Linked DNA regions of Stegostoma tigrinum. The main gene of each other region encodes a partner of the protein of the gene in region 2 in a complex. Links are inferred from orthologs where the notes say so. Each region holds a gene or a part of one and is shown on either strand. Other genes may lie near its edges.

Region 1 (7,918 bases), on a different chromosome or scaffold from region 2:
AGACTCTTGTTCCTATATCTTTCCAAACTGATTTATTACTAACAATGTACAATCATTCATTTCCAAAATCCTGTTGCAATCTTCTTGGATAAATGGAATTATATCACTGTTCCTTCATTGTAACTCAGTCAAAATACTGAACCGCTTCCCCATCGACACCATCAGGCAGTTAAGAGTCATCCACATTGATGTGGGCGAGAGTCACAAGTAGGTCAGATCAGGTAAAGATAGCAGATTTCCTTCATTAGAGAGATTAGAAAATTTCCTTCCCTCATTAATGAGCAGAACAGGAGTTTCAGAAGCAATGGTCACAAAAGACAAATTTTTATTCTAGATTTTTATTAACTAAATCCAAATCTGCCAGAGATTTAAAACCTTGTCCCCAGAACATGAACTTCAAACTCTGGATTACTATTCTGTTGACATTACGACTATCCATTGCTCTCCTGCAAAATTCCCTTCCTGAGATCAGCTCCTACACAGCTGAAATCTAATTCAAAACTTTTCTTTACAATTGCCAACAATACAATTTTACCAACTTTATGATTGCTGGTCTCTTCAAAAATTTGAAATGCTCCAAAACCAGAACACCAAATCTTTTCAACCATTAAATTCCATTCATCCATTACATTAGTCTTTACTGTCCGACATAGGTTCTCAACCCATCACTGCATTAACCTCTAAATTGTGAGCTGGCTTTCAAACCCCAACAGACTTCCATACTCTTCAGTTCCTCAACTCTCCCTACATATGTACAAGCAAATTATTGCAGATGCTGGAATCTGCACTGAAAACAAAAATTGCTGAAAATCACAGTGTAGAGAGGGGGAGGGGGAAAACTAACATCGAGTCTAGAAGACTCTTCACCAGCTCTGAAGAAGTGTCATTTAGACGCGAAACATGAGTTTGCTCTCTCCCCATGGATGCTGCTTGATTAGCTGTCATTTCCAGCATGCATCTTCTCATTTACACTTTCGCCAGTACTCTTAACCATTACCATTGACACTCAGCCTTAATTGTGTGCAGCTCTTTCTTTAAACCCCTTAGTCTTTCCTATTGCCAACTTACGGTTCTTGCCTAAAATTCTCTGTCAATGCTCATCTGTGGCCCACTGCTCATAAAAATAGAAAGCCATAAAACATTAACGGAGAAGTAAGCCATTCAGCCCATTGAGTCTGCTCTACAATGCAAAGAGATCATGGTTGATAGCCCCGAACAACACTTTCCTGCCTTTCCACCATAACCCCATACTCCCTCACATAATAAAATATCTGTCTTAGCCGCAAATACACTTAATGACTTGGCCTTGGAAGCATTCTAGCTGTGAAGAATTCCACAGATTCATTACCTTCTAAGAATAATTTCCTCCTTATCTCTGTCCTAACTGGCAACTCGCATACTGAGATTACACCCTACAGTGTTAGACTCTTCGGTAAGGGGAAACAACTTTTCCGTATCTACTCTGTCAAGTTCTCTCAGAATCATGTATGCATCAACAAGATCACCTCTTAATCTTCTGAAATCCAATGAGGACAGAGCCAAAGTACTCAATATCTTCTCATCAGACAGTTTCTCCCTAGCTAGGATCAACCTTGTAAACCTCTCAATTGCTTTCAATGCTAGTATATCTTTCTTTGGATAAGGGGATCAAAACTATTTACAGTATTCCAGCTGTAATCTGACTATGCCTTGTAAATTAATAAGGCTTTCCTATTTTTACACTCCATTCCTCTTAAAATAAAAGGCCAAAATTCCATTTGCCTTCCCTACTACCTGAGCTTGGATGCCAGCTTCTTGCGATTTATGCACAAAGGTTACCAAATCCCTATGCTGTAGTGGCTTTTTGCAGTCTTTCTCCATTTAAAACATATTCAGCCTCTCTATTCTTGCTGCCAAAGTGCATAACCTCACATTATCCCTCATTACATTCCTTGCGCCCACAACATTAATCTATCTATATGTCTTTGCAGACTGTGAAATCCACACCACTTGCATTTCCACCTATTTGTGTTATACACAGACTTGGCTATTACAAATTCACTTTCCTCATCCAAGTCACCAGCATATATTGTAAAAAATTGTTGATCCAGCATTCATCTGTGACACTCCAATAATTAAACATTGCCATTCTGAAAATGCCCCCATGTCTAGAAAACTCTTTATCCATGCTAATACACCACCCCCATAGATTTGCATCAAATGTGTGGAACCCTCTAAAAATTCAAACACATTAAATCCACTGTTTCCCTTTAATTGTTCCGGTTGTTACCAGTTCAAAGAATTCTAATAAATTTATGGTCTTTTCCAAAACCTAAGGACTCATTCTCTAAAAGGGCCTATGTTTACTTCAGCCCCTCTCTTCCTTCTCATATACTTAAAGAAACTCTTGCTGTCCATCTTGATATTATTTACAATTTTACCTTCAAAGTTAATTGTCTCGCTTTTTTGTGTTGCTTTTGCTGGTTTTAAAAACCTTAGAGGAGAATGTTTTAAAAAGTTTGAGGGCCAACTTTTTTTTGCAGAGTGATTTGTGTATGAAATCAACTGTCAGAGAAAATGGTGGATGCAGGAACAGTTACGACATTTAAAATACATTGGATAAGTTCATGAATAAAAAGGGTTATGGGTCAGGGCCAAGCAGGTGGCTATGACTCTGAGATAATAAAATGTGAGGCTGGATGAACACAGCAGGCCAAGCAGCATCTCAGGAGCACAAAAGCTGACGTTTCGGGCCTAGACCCTTCATCAGAGAGCTATGACTCTGACTCTGTTTACCACTACTCCTTGCCACTCTGTTTTTTCCTTTCACTTTGATGCTATCTTTAAGCTCCCTGTTTAACCATTGCCTGCTCACTACCTGCATAGAATCCTTCTTTATCATTGGGTTATATCTTTGTTGTGAGCGATGAACCATTTTCTTAAAAGTCTGCTATTGTTCAACTGTCTTTGCCACTAAATTGCTTTCCCAACCCACTCCATCTAGCTGTGCCTTCATTGCTTTATAACTACCCTTATTAAAATTTAGCATAATTGGTTTTGTAATAAGCTTCTCCCAAACTAAATGCTAAACTCTACCATGTTACAGTCACTGCTTTCAAAGGGATCCTTTATATTGACATTTTTTAAACCTTTCTCATTCACATCACCAGATTCAAAACAGCCTGATCCCTGTTTAGATCTACAATATACTCCAGGTAAATTGTCCCAAATACATGCTATGAATTCTTCTTTACGGTTATTTCTGCTGATCTGACTATCATAATCAACAAGAAAATTAAAGTTACTCACAATTAATTTACAGTTTTTTTAAACAATCCCTCATTATCTCCTGCTTTATTATCGATCCTGACATATAGTTACTGTTAAGGACCCTATAAGGCTACTCTTAGTAGTATCTGCTTCACCTTTCTACTTTTGACCTCCACCCATTTGGATTCTATGTCTTCCAAATCAAGGTCATTTCTTGCTTTCATACTTATTCCATCCTGTATGAACAATACTATCCATTCACCCCTTCCTTCCTGCTTATCCTTTTGAAAAGTCACATACTCTTCAATATTTAGTGGCCAGGTTCTCCCTCTATGGAACCACATCTCCATAATGACTATAAGACCACAACCATTAACCTGTAATTATGCCTTTATTCATATTGTTCCAAACATACATTCAAGTAAAGAGCATCGATTTTGCCTTTTTACCATTTTCTATCTTAGACCCTATTTACTGTTTTTCTATGTTGAACAGTTTGTTCCTTCCTGCCCCACTATGAATGATTATACAATTAGATGCTTTATAAGACTGCCATCTCCCCTCTAAGTTCTTTCTTTGAACAATTGCTTTGTTAAATAAATACAAGTTCTTGCACTCACCCCTAATCACTCCACTAACACTGCATTATTAGTCCACCCTTGTTACAGCACTCTCCTGTTGACTTTAATTTAGGAATAATCATCCATTTATGATATTGCTGTCGATTTAAGAGTGTAATGACAGTTCACGTCTATCTTCACACCATTTTATGTCTGCCTGCACATAAGTTGTCACTGTCCTGGATTTATTGGCCGCGCAACATAAACTCAAAAGAACCTTGTGCTTGTCGACCCAGTATCAACAACACACGTATCTCAATGATACTGGTGTAACTTTAGGGACATGGAGTATTCCAGGTGCTTCTATTACACTCAAACTCCTAGAGAAAGTCATACTTTCCTACGCACAGAACTTTTCGACATGACAGTTCAACAGCCGAAGATCAGTGAAGCCTGGCGATGATCGCTGGGGAGCGAAAGGGACCCTTAGCAGCTACTCGCAGGCCTCAGTGACTCAGCTGCTCGGTTTCAGGAAAGGACCGGGACAAGGCCCAGAAACCACACGTCGGAGGGGTTCAATGGATGGTGGGAACCGACAGGCAGAGGCCCAGCTGGAGAGCAATTAGTTTCATCCGGTTCTGGTGGTGACTGGAAACGAGGCCTGAGGGACTCACCGGCCGAGGTAATCATGATGTCGGTGAAAGAGGGGCAATCCCTCGCTGTTTCCCGGTCCTGGTCTCGATCTCAGTACCACCGCACTGACTCAGTGATGTTCACAAAATCCCTCCGCGCAGTTCAGGCTGGAGAGGTCCTCGTACCACCCGCCCCTCCACGCGCCTGCTTCTCGAACAATAACCAATAGCTTCAAAAGAGGTACGAATTATTTAAAACAAAAACACTGTTATGGATTTGTTTTAAATTGAAAAATAACTGTTTCCCTAGTACCTTTTAAAACCATGCCCATCCCCGACTAAATGACAGGCAGTAGTTTAGCCAGCTCGGTAGTTGGGGCCCAGGTTGCCCAGGAGATGCTGATTCACCCAGTGGTTGCATTGATTGAGGGCACGAAATTTAATACAGATTCAGGTAGACCGCGGGAAATACCATGGTAAAATAGTTCTGGCATAGTTAAACACTATTTGCTAAAGGTTACATTATTGAAACATTTATCCGATTGCTTAACTGTTGTTTGGGGAAGCTTGCTGTGTATGAATTGGCTGCTGTGTTTCCTACATTGCAGAAGTGGCTGGGCTTCAAACGATATCCCATATAAAGCGTTTCGGGACATCCTGTGAATGTGAAAGCTATCGGATAGCTGCAAGAAGTTCTGATCTAAAATCACTTGAATGAAAATGCACACTCCTCAAATGGAAGCATATTCATATTGGCGCAGGCAACAGCACTGCCTTGGTAACGAAGCTGCTGAACATGATTGTGCTTAGGACACCACCCTGAGGAGTTTCAGCATTGATTTCCTAGTGCTGAGCTAATTGATCTCCAACAATCACAAACCTCTTCCTTTGTGATACATATCACTGTAACCAATGGAGAGTTTTCTCCTGATTTCCATTGACTGTAGTCTTGCTAGCATTCTTTTCCTGATTTCCATTGACTCAAGTTTGGCTAGCACTCCTTGATGGCAGTTTCAGTCAAGTGCTGCCTTGTAATAACGACAGTCACTCTCACATCATCTCTGGAATTCTGCTGTTTTATCAGTGTTTGGCCCATGGCTCTAATGAGATCACGAATGGAGTGGTCTTGATGGAATTTGAACTGAATATCAGTGCAGAGGTTATTGTCATGTAGGTTCTGCTTGACAGCACTGTCACTGACCCCTTCCTTAACTTTGCTGATTGAGAGTCGATGGAGCAGTAATTGGACAGGTTGGATTTGGGCTGCGTTTTGTGAGCAGGACATACTTATGCAATTTCCAACATTATCGTATAGATTTACTTGACCATCTTAGTTAGGGTGCAGCAAATTCTGGTGCACAAGTCTTCAGTAATATTCAAGATAATAGGAACTGCAGATGCTGGAGAATCGGAGATAACAAGGTGTGGAGCTGGATGAACACAGCAGGCCAAACAGCATCTGAAGAACAGGAAAGGTGATGTTTCGGGCCTAGACCCTTCATCAGAAATGGGGGAGGGGAAGAGGGTTCTGAAATAAAAAGGGACAGAGGGGGAGGCAGATTGAAGATGGATAGAGGAGAAGATAGGTGGAGAGGAGACAAACAAATTAAAGAGGCGGGGGCGGAGCCAGTAAAGGTGAGTGTAGGTGGGGAGGTAGGGAGGAGATAGGCCAGTCCAGGGAGGACGGACAGGTCAAGGGAGCGGGATAAAGTTAGGAGGTAGGAAATGGGGGTGCAACTTGAGGTGGGAGGAGGGGATAGGGCAGAGGAACAGGTTAGGGAGGTGGGAATGAGCTGGGCTGATTTTGGGATGTGGTGGGGGGGGAAAGAGAGATTTTGAAGCTTGTGAAATGAGTTGCTGTTCCTGCAACCTTTGGGTGGCAGCGTTGTGGCATTGCAGGAGGCCCAGGATGGATATGTCGTCTGAGAAATAGGAGAGGGAGTTGAAATGCTTTGCAACTGGGAGGTGCAGCTGTTTATTGCGAACCGAGCATAGGTGTTCTGCAAAGCAGTCCCTGAGCCTCTGCTTGGTTTCCCCAATGTAGAGGACGCCACAACGGGTACAGCAGATGCAGTATACCACATTAGCGGATGTGCAAGTCCAACGCATCATCCTCCCACACTTCCACCATCTGCAAGCCGACCCCACCACCAAAGACGTTTTTCCCTCCCCACCCTTGTCTGCTTTCCGGAGGGACCATTCTCTCCGTGACACTCTTGTCCGCTTCACACACCCCTCCAGCTTCATCACACCCACCATTCCTCAGACGACATGTCCATCCTGGGCCTCCTGCAGTGCCACAATGATGCCACCCGCAGGTTGCAGGAACAGCAACTCATATTCCGCTTGGGAACCCTGCAGCCCAATGGTATCAATGTGGACTTCACAAGCTTCAAAATCTGCCCTCCCCCCACCGCATCCCAAACTCAGCCAAACTCTTCCCCACCTCCCTAACTTGTTCTTCCTCTCACCTATCCTCTCCTCCCACCTCAAGCCACACCTCCATTTCCTACCTACTAACCTCATCCCACCCCCTTGACCTGTCTGTCCTCCCTGGACTGACCTATCTCCTCCCTACCTCCCCACCTACACTCACCCCCACTGGCTCCATCCCCGTCTCTTTAACTTGTTTGTCTCCTCTGCACCTATCTTCTCCTCTATCCATCTTCAATCTGCCTCCCCCTCTGTCCCTTTTTATTTCAGAACTGTCTTCCCCTCCCCGATTTCTGAAGGGTCTAGGCCCAAAAGGTCAACCTTCCTGTTCTAAGATGCTGTTTGGCCTGCTGTTTTCACTCATTGTGAAATGAGTTGCTGTTTCTGCAACCTTCGGGTGGCATCATTGTGGCACTGCAGGAGGCCTTCAGGAATAGTGCTAGAATATTATCAGGGCACGTCTTGTGAAAGAACTGTCCTAAAGACTAGAAGCTGCAATCCTTAAACTCAGCAGGAGACCAAGATCAATCATCTTTGTGGTGATATTATTTAAAATTTAGTGTTGTCGTTCCAGTGATACAGGTAATTATTCTCATTTAAAAATGTTTACTTTTTTTTGAAAAATTATCATTTTGAAAATTCAGAGTCTGTTCCATGCAGACCTCAGCAGTCCATGCACTACAGCAAATTCTTGTACCAGAAGTTAATGCTCCAATCTGGATTGGTGTGCTAAGCGGTGATTGCAGAGCGTAGTTCTGGCTGTGCATGCACATACATCTTAGAGCTCCCAGATTCTATTTATTACTCCTGTGTTATAAACTAAGGTGTATAGTAAGAGCTGGAAGCTTACACAGAAACTGTGTAAAATCTCATTAGGCCCCAACTCTAGTTTTGGTCACCACATGATTGTATTAAAGAGGTGTGATGAAATTAATGAGAATGTTGCTGGACTTGAAAATTGTAGTTGTTTGGTCTATTGGTTATTCCTAATATTTGTTTTATTTAGGACTGAGAGACTTAGACTAAGTGGATAGCAATTAAGTG
Region 2 (7,525 bases):
CGGCGGAGGCGAGGGAATTGGGAATAGAGGATGAAATTTTTGCAGGAAGGTGGGTGGAAGAAAGTGTGCTCCTAAGATGCTGCTTGGTCTGCATCGTATCAATGTCCCTTTGCAACCTAGAACAGCCCTCCGCACTATCCATGACTCGATCCACCTTCATACTGTCTGCAAACTTACTAATCCACCCTTACACTCCTACATCCAATCATTTACAAATCACAAATAGAAGAGGACCTAGAACGGATCCTTGTGGTACACCACTCATAACTGAGCACCACGTTGAATATTTTCCATCCACTACCACCCTTTGTCTTCTAAGAGTCAGCCAATTCCGAATCCAATCTGCTACTTTTCTCCCTATCCCATGCCTCCATACTTACTGCATGAGCCTACATGGGGAACCTTATCTAACGCCTTACTTAAATCTGTGTATACTGCCTCCACTGCCCTACCTTCATCCACGTGTTTGGTCACCTCTTCAAAGAATTCAATAAGAGATATCACAGTTTTCTGAAGGGCTAATCTCAAAAATCTGAAAACTTGTGGAATTTGACATTAATTGCCAAAGAAATTTGCTGCAAGATATTTGGTCAGGAAGTAACAGAATATCTACTTTTTCAATGATGAGATATATGATCCTGCACTGAACTATACAATAAGACAGGGAAAACTAAACTGTACAGTCTCACTTTTGCAGATGGTAAATTAGTGCTAAAGATTTTTAAAAGTTTTTTCTTTTCTGCTTCCTTTCTATCTTTTCTCTTCATTTCTATTTCTATATCCAATGCAAGTTTAATTAATACTACTTTCTTTCTTTAATGCTGTTTCTTTCTCAATCATTAAGTCTTATGGCTTATGGAAATAGACTGTTGGTTCTGAGGAAGGGTCAATGGACCTGAAACATCAACTCGATTTTTTCTTCACAAATGCTGCCTGACCTGCGAAGCTTTGCTAGCAAATTCTGTTTTTGTTGTTAGTTCCGTTGTTCAATTAATGCCCCTGTTGCCTTTGTCATTCCACTCTTACAGCAATTTATATCTAAGTATTTTTCAAAATTAAAAGTCTGGGAAAACGTCTAACCAAAGGGGGCCTGCCATTAGATGCTACACTCTGGAAAATTGTGGGCCATTAAATAAGTATATTGAATCGATTTTATTTTACCAAAATGATGGAACTGAGGACAAATTCATCACAGGGGCACAAAAAATGGAAAGGAAAACCAAGACTCAAAATGGATAAGACATCAGGATCAAATGGCATTCACCCTAGATTGCTGGAACTGTTCTGAGCAGGATTTAGAGACTACAATTATAACTTTTCCAATTCTTTAGAAGACAAATTCTGATGTGGAAAAGAATGTTGTTTAAGACAGAAGAAAGAGACAACTACAGGGCAGAAGCATAAGGGCAACATCATGCATAAAAAAAACAGACAAATCGATAATTTGAAATAAAACTACTGACCATTAAAAATGATTTGAAGGCAAATAATCTTTGACAAATGTATTTCATACAGTCTTTTCAAAGTGGTTACAGACTGGATAGGGAAAAAGGAATGCCATAGATGTATAAATACGGAATTTCAGAGGTTTTAAGAAAGAATGCTAGAAAGATTCGGATGTAAAGCACGTGTGTTTGTGCGCAGTCACTCATAACACGATTAATACTTGCTCATGGCAAAAACCTGAGCATGGACTCTTTTAACATGGGGGAACATTGCATTGGACCTACCATACAATGTTTGCTGACCATGAAACTCTCCCACTTTTTCTCCATGCCAGAACATATCAGAAGGCTTTGCAGATTGATAATTTACCTGTTTGACCATGTAAGACAAAACTTTCATGGTCATCAAATCTGGAGGTGGACTGCAACCTGGAGATTCTGGCACAGAGATAGAGATACTACCATTGTGTGCAAGAACTGCCAGGTAAATGGTTTAAAAAGTGAAACAATATAAACAGAATGATGGATTAAGAACAATAAGTAATGAGTTGGAGTAATTAGCTGTTGCTTGGATAAAATAGTTGGAAGTACTATAGCCTGGAGTGCATGTTAGGTCCACTTTTGTTCTCAGTACATATTAATTCTTTACACTCAGCAACAAGAAAGGTTTCCAAATATGCAGATGTCAAACAAATTTAGCAAGAACTGCAAGTATTCTGCCCATATTCCAGTTTGCTCCAAACCCCATTCACATAGCATCTCTGTGCTCTCTTACTTATATTGGCTTCTGGTACCTCAAATGTTTCAAACTCAACATTCCTACCCTTGTGATTAAATCCTTCCCTGACTTTTTTTCATATTTCTCTTGCCTCCTGTAATTATAAAGCCCTCTAAAGAGGACTGTATCTCTTCACCTCAATATCCTTCAGGATTCTGAAATCCCTTTGCCCCAACACTGGTAACTGCACCATCTGGTGTCTAGGCTGAATACTATGGTATTAAATTCCTAAATGTATTAGTTCCTCTTCAAAATTAAGGTATCTCTTTGACCAAGCATTTTAGTCACACATCTGCTGATTTAGTGTTAGTGTTTGTCTTATTATCCTTCTGTGAACAGGCTGGTGATATTTTTTAGATTAAGAACACGAAGAAGTTGTGAAATGCTGTTGTTCAGAAAGACAAAAAAAAACTTATTCATGGAGTGGGCAAATAGGTAGCACATGTAAATTAATATGACTAATCGTAAAGCTGTACATATTTGAATGGAAATCAAAGTTGAGAGTTTACATTTAATGTTTAGATAGTGAGGATACAGATGAACAGACAGCAAACTTCTCAAGGTTGAACCGCAGGGATAACATGTATAATTCCTCCTATGCAGTGCCTTGAGAGGTTTTATTGCATTAAAGGTGTGATGTTTCTGACTTGGAATTATATTGACATTTCTTCACTGTCACTGTGTCAAAATCCCACATTGTGAGTGTACCTACACCACATGGAGTGCGCCACACAGAGTGCAGCATATCAAGAAGGCAGTCAACACCTTTGCAAGGGAATTGAGGGAGACATAAATGCTACCCTAGCTAGCAATGTCCATATCTCATGAAAAAAAAGTAAAAATGCAGTTGTTGTTGCAATTTCTTTATCAACCTGCATTTGAGAATGTTATACTTTTCTCCTATTTATAAAATACAATCATAAATTTCTACAAAACTTTGTACTCTAACCACCATGGCACCGAGAGAAAGGACACTCAAGTTATTAAAAGCAGAAAAATCAGATTCACAGCTATGAGGAAGAAATTGCAACACCAAGAATATTTCCAGTGAAGCTCTGCCAGGCATACACTAAGAAAGGAATACGACTTCATTGGAAAAAAATACAATTGGCCTCAATATCCTTCAGGATTCTGAAATCCCTTTGCCCCAAGGATAGCTAATGATTGATAGCAATTGGTTTTATATAGGTAAAAGTATAGGGTTTGCAAATAAGCACTGGAAGATCAAAGTCAGAGTTGTAATCTGATTTTATTACTAAATAAAAGAGAGAGCTGTCCTCTCTAGCCCGTTAAATTACAAAGCCTAACAACACAAACGACGCTGAAACAGCTGCAAAGTAACAGAAACTGCAGTAGTCTCATTCTTATTATTTAATTCAGCACTGAAGAAAGTAACATTCTGGAAAACTAAGTCATGATCTGGAACGCATTGCAAAGCAGAGGAAACAGATTTAATTATGGCTTTCAGACTTGAAGGGCCAGATTTTGCAAGGCTTTCAAAGAGCCAGCACAAGCAAGATGGGCCAAAAGGTCCAAATGGACCTTCTTTTCAATAATCTAATTCAATGGCAAAGAATGGTTAACTTTGTTGAGGTATTCATCTTCTTTCAACATTAGCTCTGTCGAAAGCTGATGGTGCTCAAAGGGTAACCAGTCCACCGCAGATGCTACCTGAACTGTCAAGTGCAACCAGAAAGACGTTTTTAATTTGCTGTTTGACAACTAAGCCAGTCGGTTGCCGGGGCGCTAAAGCAGATTCCGGTGAGTTTTCGCCCTCTTTGAGGTGATCAACACGCGGAGCAGAATCTCCGACAACTTGATCTGAATAAACGGACAAATAAAAAAAGACGCAGATCGTGGCGCTAACAGCCACCAGGGGTCAAGAAAGTTGCATACCCGAAAGCTCTGACATGGAAAAGTATAACCGATCATATTGCCTACTTTCGTTGGGGATTTCCTCTCTGTCTGGGTCGGCACTGATCCCCGTGCTGTCGTCTGTCAAGATTAAAGGGACATCATCGTCGACAGGCAGCGTCACCGCCATCGTCCGGTATACCCCCACACCCCAAACTGTCGCCGCCGCCGAAGAACGACGCTGGGAGTGTGCGGGAGGCGGGAAGGACGAGCGAGCAGAGGGCGGGACCCTGATCCACACCTTGTCGGTGATTGGTCCAGGCCGACGGTCGGTCCGGCGGGCTCACTCGAGAGGAAACGTCAATCAAAAGCGCGGCGTCCAACAGGTTCGCGTGAAACCCGCCTCCTCCCACGTGGACGGCGCGGCCAGCGAGTCAGAGGGAAAAGGTCGTCCGTCTCTTAGCAACGGAGTAACCGTCGCTGGCAAACAGAAGGGCGGAGATAGGTGAGTGCGTCCGTTCGCGGCAGAGGAACCCTTTAACCCGAAAGCACCGGGGTCGGCGGTGGCGGGGGGGATCCCGTTAAAACGAGCTGACGAACGGTCTCTGTGCCTCAGGACGAGGTTGAATATTCTCAGGCAGAATATTTGAGAAATCAGAAAGTATCCGGAGCTCACTGCCCGACAGGTTTCTAGAGTCAGGAATCCTTAATACTTACTGGCCAAGTGATGGAAAATGGAATCCGAATAGATGGATGTTTGATGACTGACGCGGATAAGATGGACCGAAGAGCCCTTTTTGCGCTGTTAAAATCTCTATCACTACGATTCCTGTTAGGCAAGGGATCCAAATGTAATCCGAGTAAAAGGAACTGTAGAATTCAAAACATAAACAAATCAGATCATTATAGAACAGCGATAGGTTTGAAGGGCCCAATGGCTCCGAATTGGTATGTTTTTGAGCTGTTGTGAATTCCTGGAGAAGATTAGTAGCCACCCACAGTTTTCGTCCATCCTGTTAGAGAGCTAGGCCTTATGGTCTCGGGAATCAGTAAACTCCAAGGTATCCTCTTGATCCTTGGATCCTTATTGTCCCTTCAGTCTGTCATCTGAGGCAGCCCATATCAACGTAACACCAGGGCATTAATTATGACTTATCAAGTTGACTGCACTAGGTCTGAGAGACTTCTGACTCAGTTCCAGGTAGCCATCCACAGCATATATTCTTTTTTATAGTTAGTGATTGTAAAGTAACTTTTAAATTAATTCGTGAAATATGGACATCACTGGCTGGACCAGTATTTATTGCCTCTCTCTTGTTGATTTCAGGAAGGTGGTGGTGAACTGCTTTCTTGAACTGCTGCAACCCATGTGCTACAGCTAGAAAATTGAACATAATATATTGTTTTGATCTGAAAATCAACACTAAATACCTCGCTCAAGTATTAAAAACCCTTATCCTCCTGATTTTTTGATCATTTTTCAAATAGCAACTGTGATCATAATTCTTTGTGGAAATCAACTTATGGGTGTTTAATGTACTTCAGTGGGAGAATGTTTCTGTGAAATTAAGCATTTATGAAAAAAATATAATTTACATTTATATATGATAGTACATTTGACAAAGATATAAATAAACCTGCACATTACTGACAAGTGTCAACTTTACAAACTAAGTGGCAGCCTTATCACCCTAAACTCAGCAAATGAGGAGGTTAGTGCTTAGCTTTGGAATGTGTTTTTCAGGAAAGCAATCAGACAGATTTGACACTGAGCCACACAAGGAGATGCTGGGACAAATGGTATTAAGGATCTAATTAAAAGGAGGAAAGAGACAGGCAAGGAGGGAGGAAAGTCATGGCTAAAGGCAAAAGCACCATTTGTTGAGCGATGAATATCATGCCTGTGCAAGAGACCAGAACTATAGGAGTACAGAAATATTAAAGGGTTGTAAGGCTAAAGAATGCAATGCAGTAGTGATGGGATTGAACACAAGAATGAGAATTTTCACTTAAATAAAGGCAAAATTGCTGGGAATCTGAAGCAAATACAGAGAATGTCACATTTGCTGCCAGACGTGCTGAGTTTCTCCAGCATTCTCTGTGTTTGTTGTTGAACGAGACTTCAAATTGAAGCATTTCTGGTCCAGGAACCAATGTGCATGTGTGAGCACAGGAATGATACATGAACAGGACTTCGTGCAAGTTAGGACAAGGATGTTTTGAATGAACTCAAGTTTATGGAGGGTGTAAAGAGGAAAAACTGTTTAAACAAAAATCAGAAGTGTGTTACTATATATTCTAAACTATTTTAATAATGTGAACTGATATGATTTATTACAGTTCACTTTATTATAAACTACCTCTGTTTTTGAAGTATACTAATGTATCACTCCTACATATTAATATAAAATCTTAATAAATGCTATCAATATATGTTATCCACATCAACCTCATGCAGTGCATCCTCTGATTTTTTTTAACATAATTTTATAAAATTTATAGATCAAGTCTCTTCTGCCAATGTTGCAATTTAAATGCGGTATATTGGTAATACTCGTCTCAAAGTCAGAAATTGTGGGTTCAAGTCCCACTTGAGATTTAAGCATGTAATCTAAAATTGCCATCTAATATAGTACTGCATTGCATTGCCAAAGGTACTGTCTTTCATATACATTGCTGAACTGAGGTCTATCTACTCAGTCATGTTAACAAAGGAAAAACCCATGGCATTGATATGAAGAAGAACTGGGGTGGTTTAACTACCTAATGTTTACCACTTAACCAACATTGCTAATTTAAAATCCTGTTTATTGTTTATATTAATGATTAACCATAGAAGCATTTGAGGCACTAGGAGGGTCCAATAACTGAACTGACCCCAATTTAACTTTGGCATTTGGACCTCAGACAGTGGTCTTTCCCACTGTGCCTTGGCAACAGCTGCCCCAAACTTTAGTGCATCCCTCACTACATAGTCCCAGACCTTGAAATGTGCCCGTCTGCAACACTCAGTTGAGGTCAACTCTTTGTTCTAGAAGACCAACAAGTTTTGAGCAGAACAAACAGCATTTTTCACCAATTTGATGGTCCTCCAAGTGCAGTCATGGTGTACGTCCTGGAGAACAGACCTTAGAGCACGTGGTCCTGTGTCACAGAGCTGCTCAGGATGAACTTCAACAAAAACCACTACATCTTTCTTCAGACTTTGATCTCAGGGCTGACGGCCATGTGGCTGATACTGTTCTGATGGGGGAATCCCTGCCTGAAGCACCATCTATTACTGGATCTCCTTTAATCAGTGAGGTTCTTGTATAGCTAGTCAATACTACCAGCATCTGATGTCTTAAGTGAAAATGGTGTTCAATGCTTGAAGTCTTTAAAGTCTAAAGGAGAAAAAAAGTTGACCTATTGTTTCTCCTAAATATATGATAGAAGGAAAGAACACATC

Evidence for each region.
Region 1: iqcd (region 2) and iqcg share a complex: the UniProt entries of both Homo sapiens proteins name them as parts of the nexin-dynein regulatory complex. The link is inferred for Stegostoma tigrinum from reciprocal best matches to the Homo sapiens genes DRC10 and DRC9.

What each region holds. Positions count from the first base shown.
Region 1 is NC_081367.1:48,502,516-48,510,433, forward strand, and holds the start of iqcg (dynein regulatory complex protein 9), read left to right. Parts: upstream 1-4,819; 5' UTR 4,820-4,895; exon of another isoform or gene 4,896-4,917; intron 4,918-7,918. Other genes in the region: psmd1 (26S proteasome non-ATPase regulatory subunit 1), read right to left, coding at 4,484-4,499. UniProt on the Homo sapiens protein: Component of the nexin-dynein regulatory complex (N-DRC), a key regulator of ciliary/flagellar motility which maintains the alignment and integrity of the distal axoneme and regulates microtubule sliding in motile axonemes.
Region 2 is NC_081379.1:29,975,661-29,983,185, reverse strand, and holds the start of iqcd (dynein regulatory complex protein 10), read left to right. Parts: upstream 1-4,500; 5' UTR 4,501-4,582; intron 4,583-7,525. Other genes in the region: tpcn1 (two pore channel protein 1), read right to left, coding at 4,165-4,267. UniProt on the Homo sapiens protein: Component of the nexin-dynein regulatory complex (N-DRC), a key regulator of ciliary/flagellar motility which maintains the alignment and integrity of the distal axoneme and regulates microtubule sliding in motile axonemes.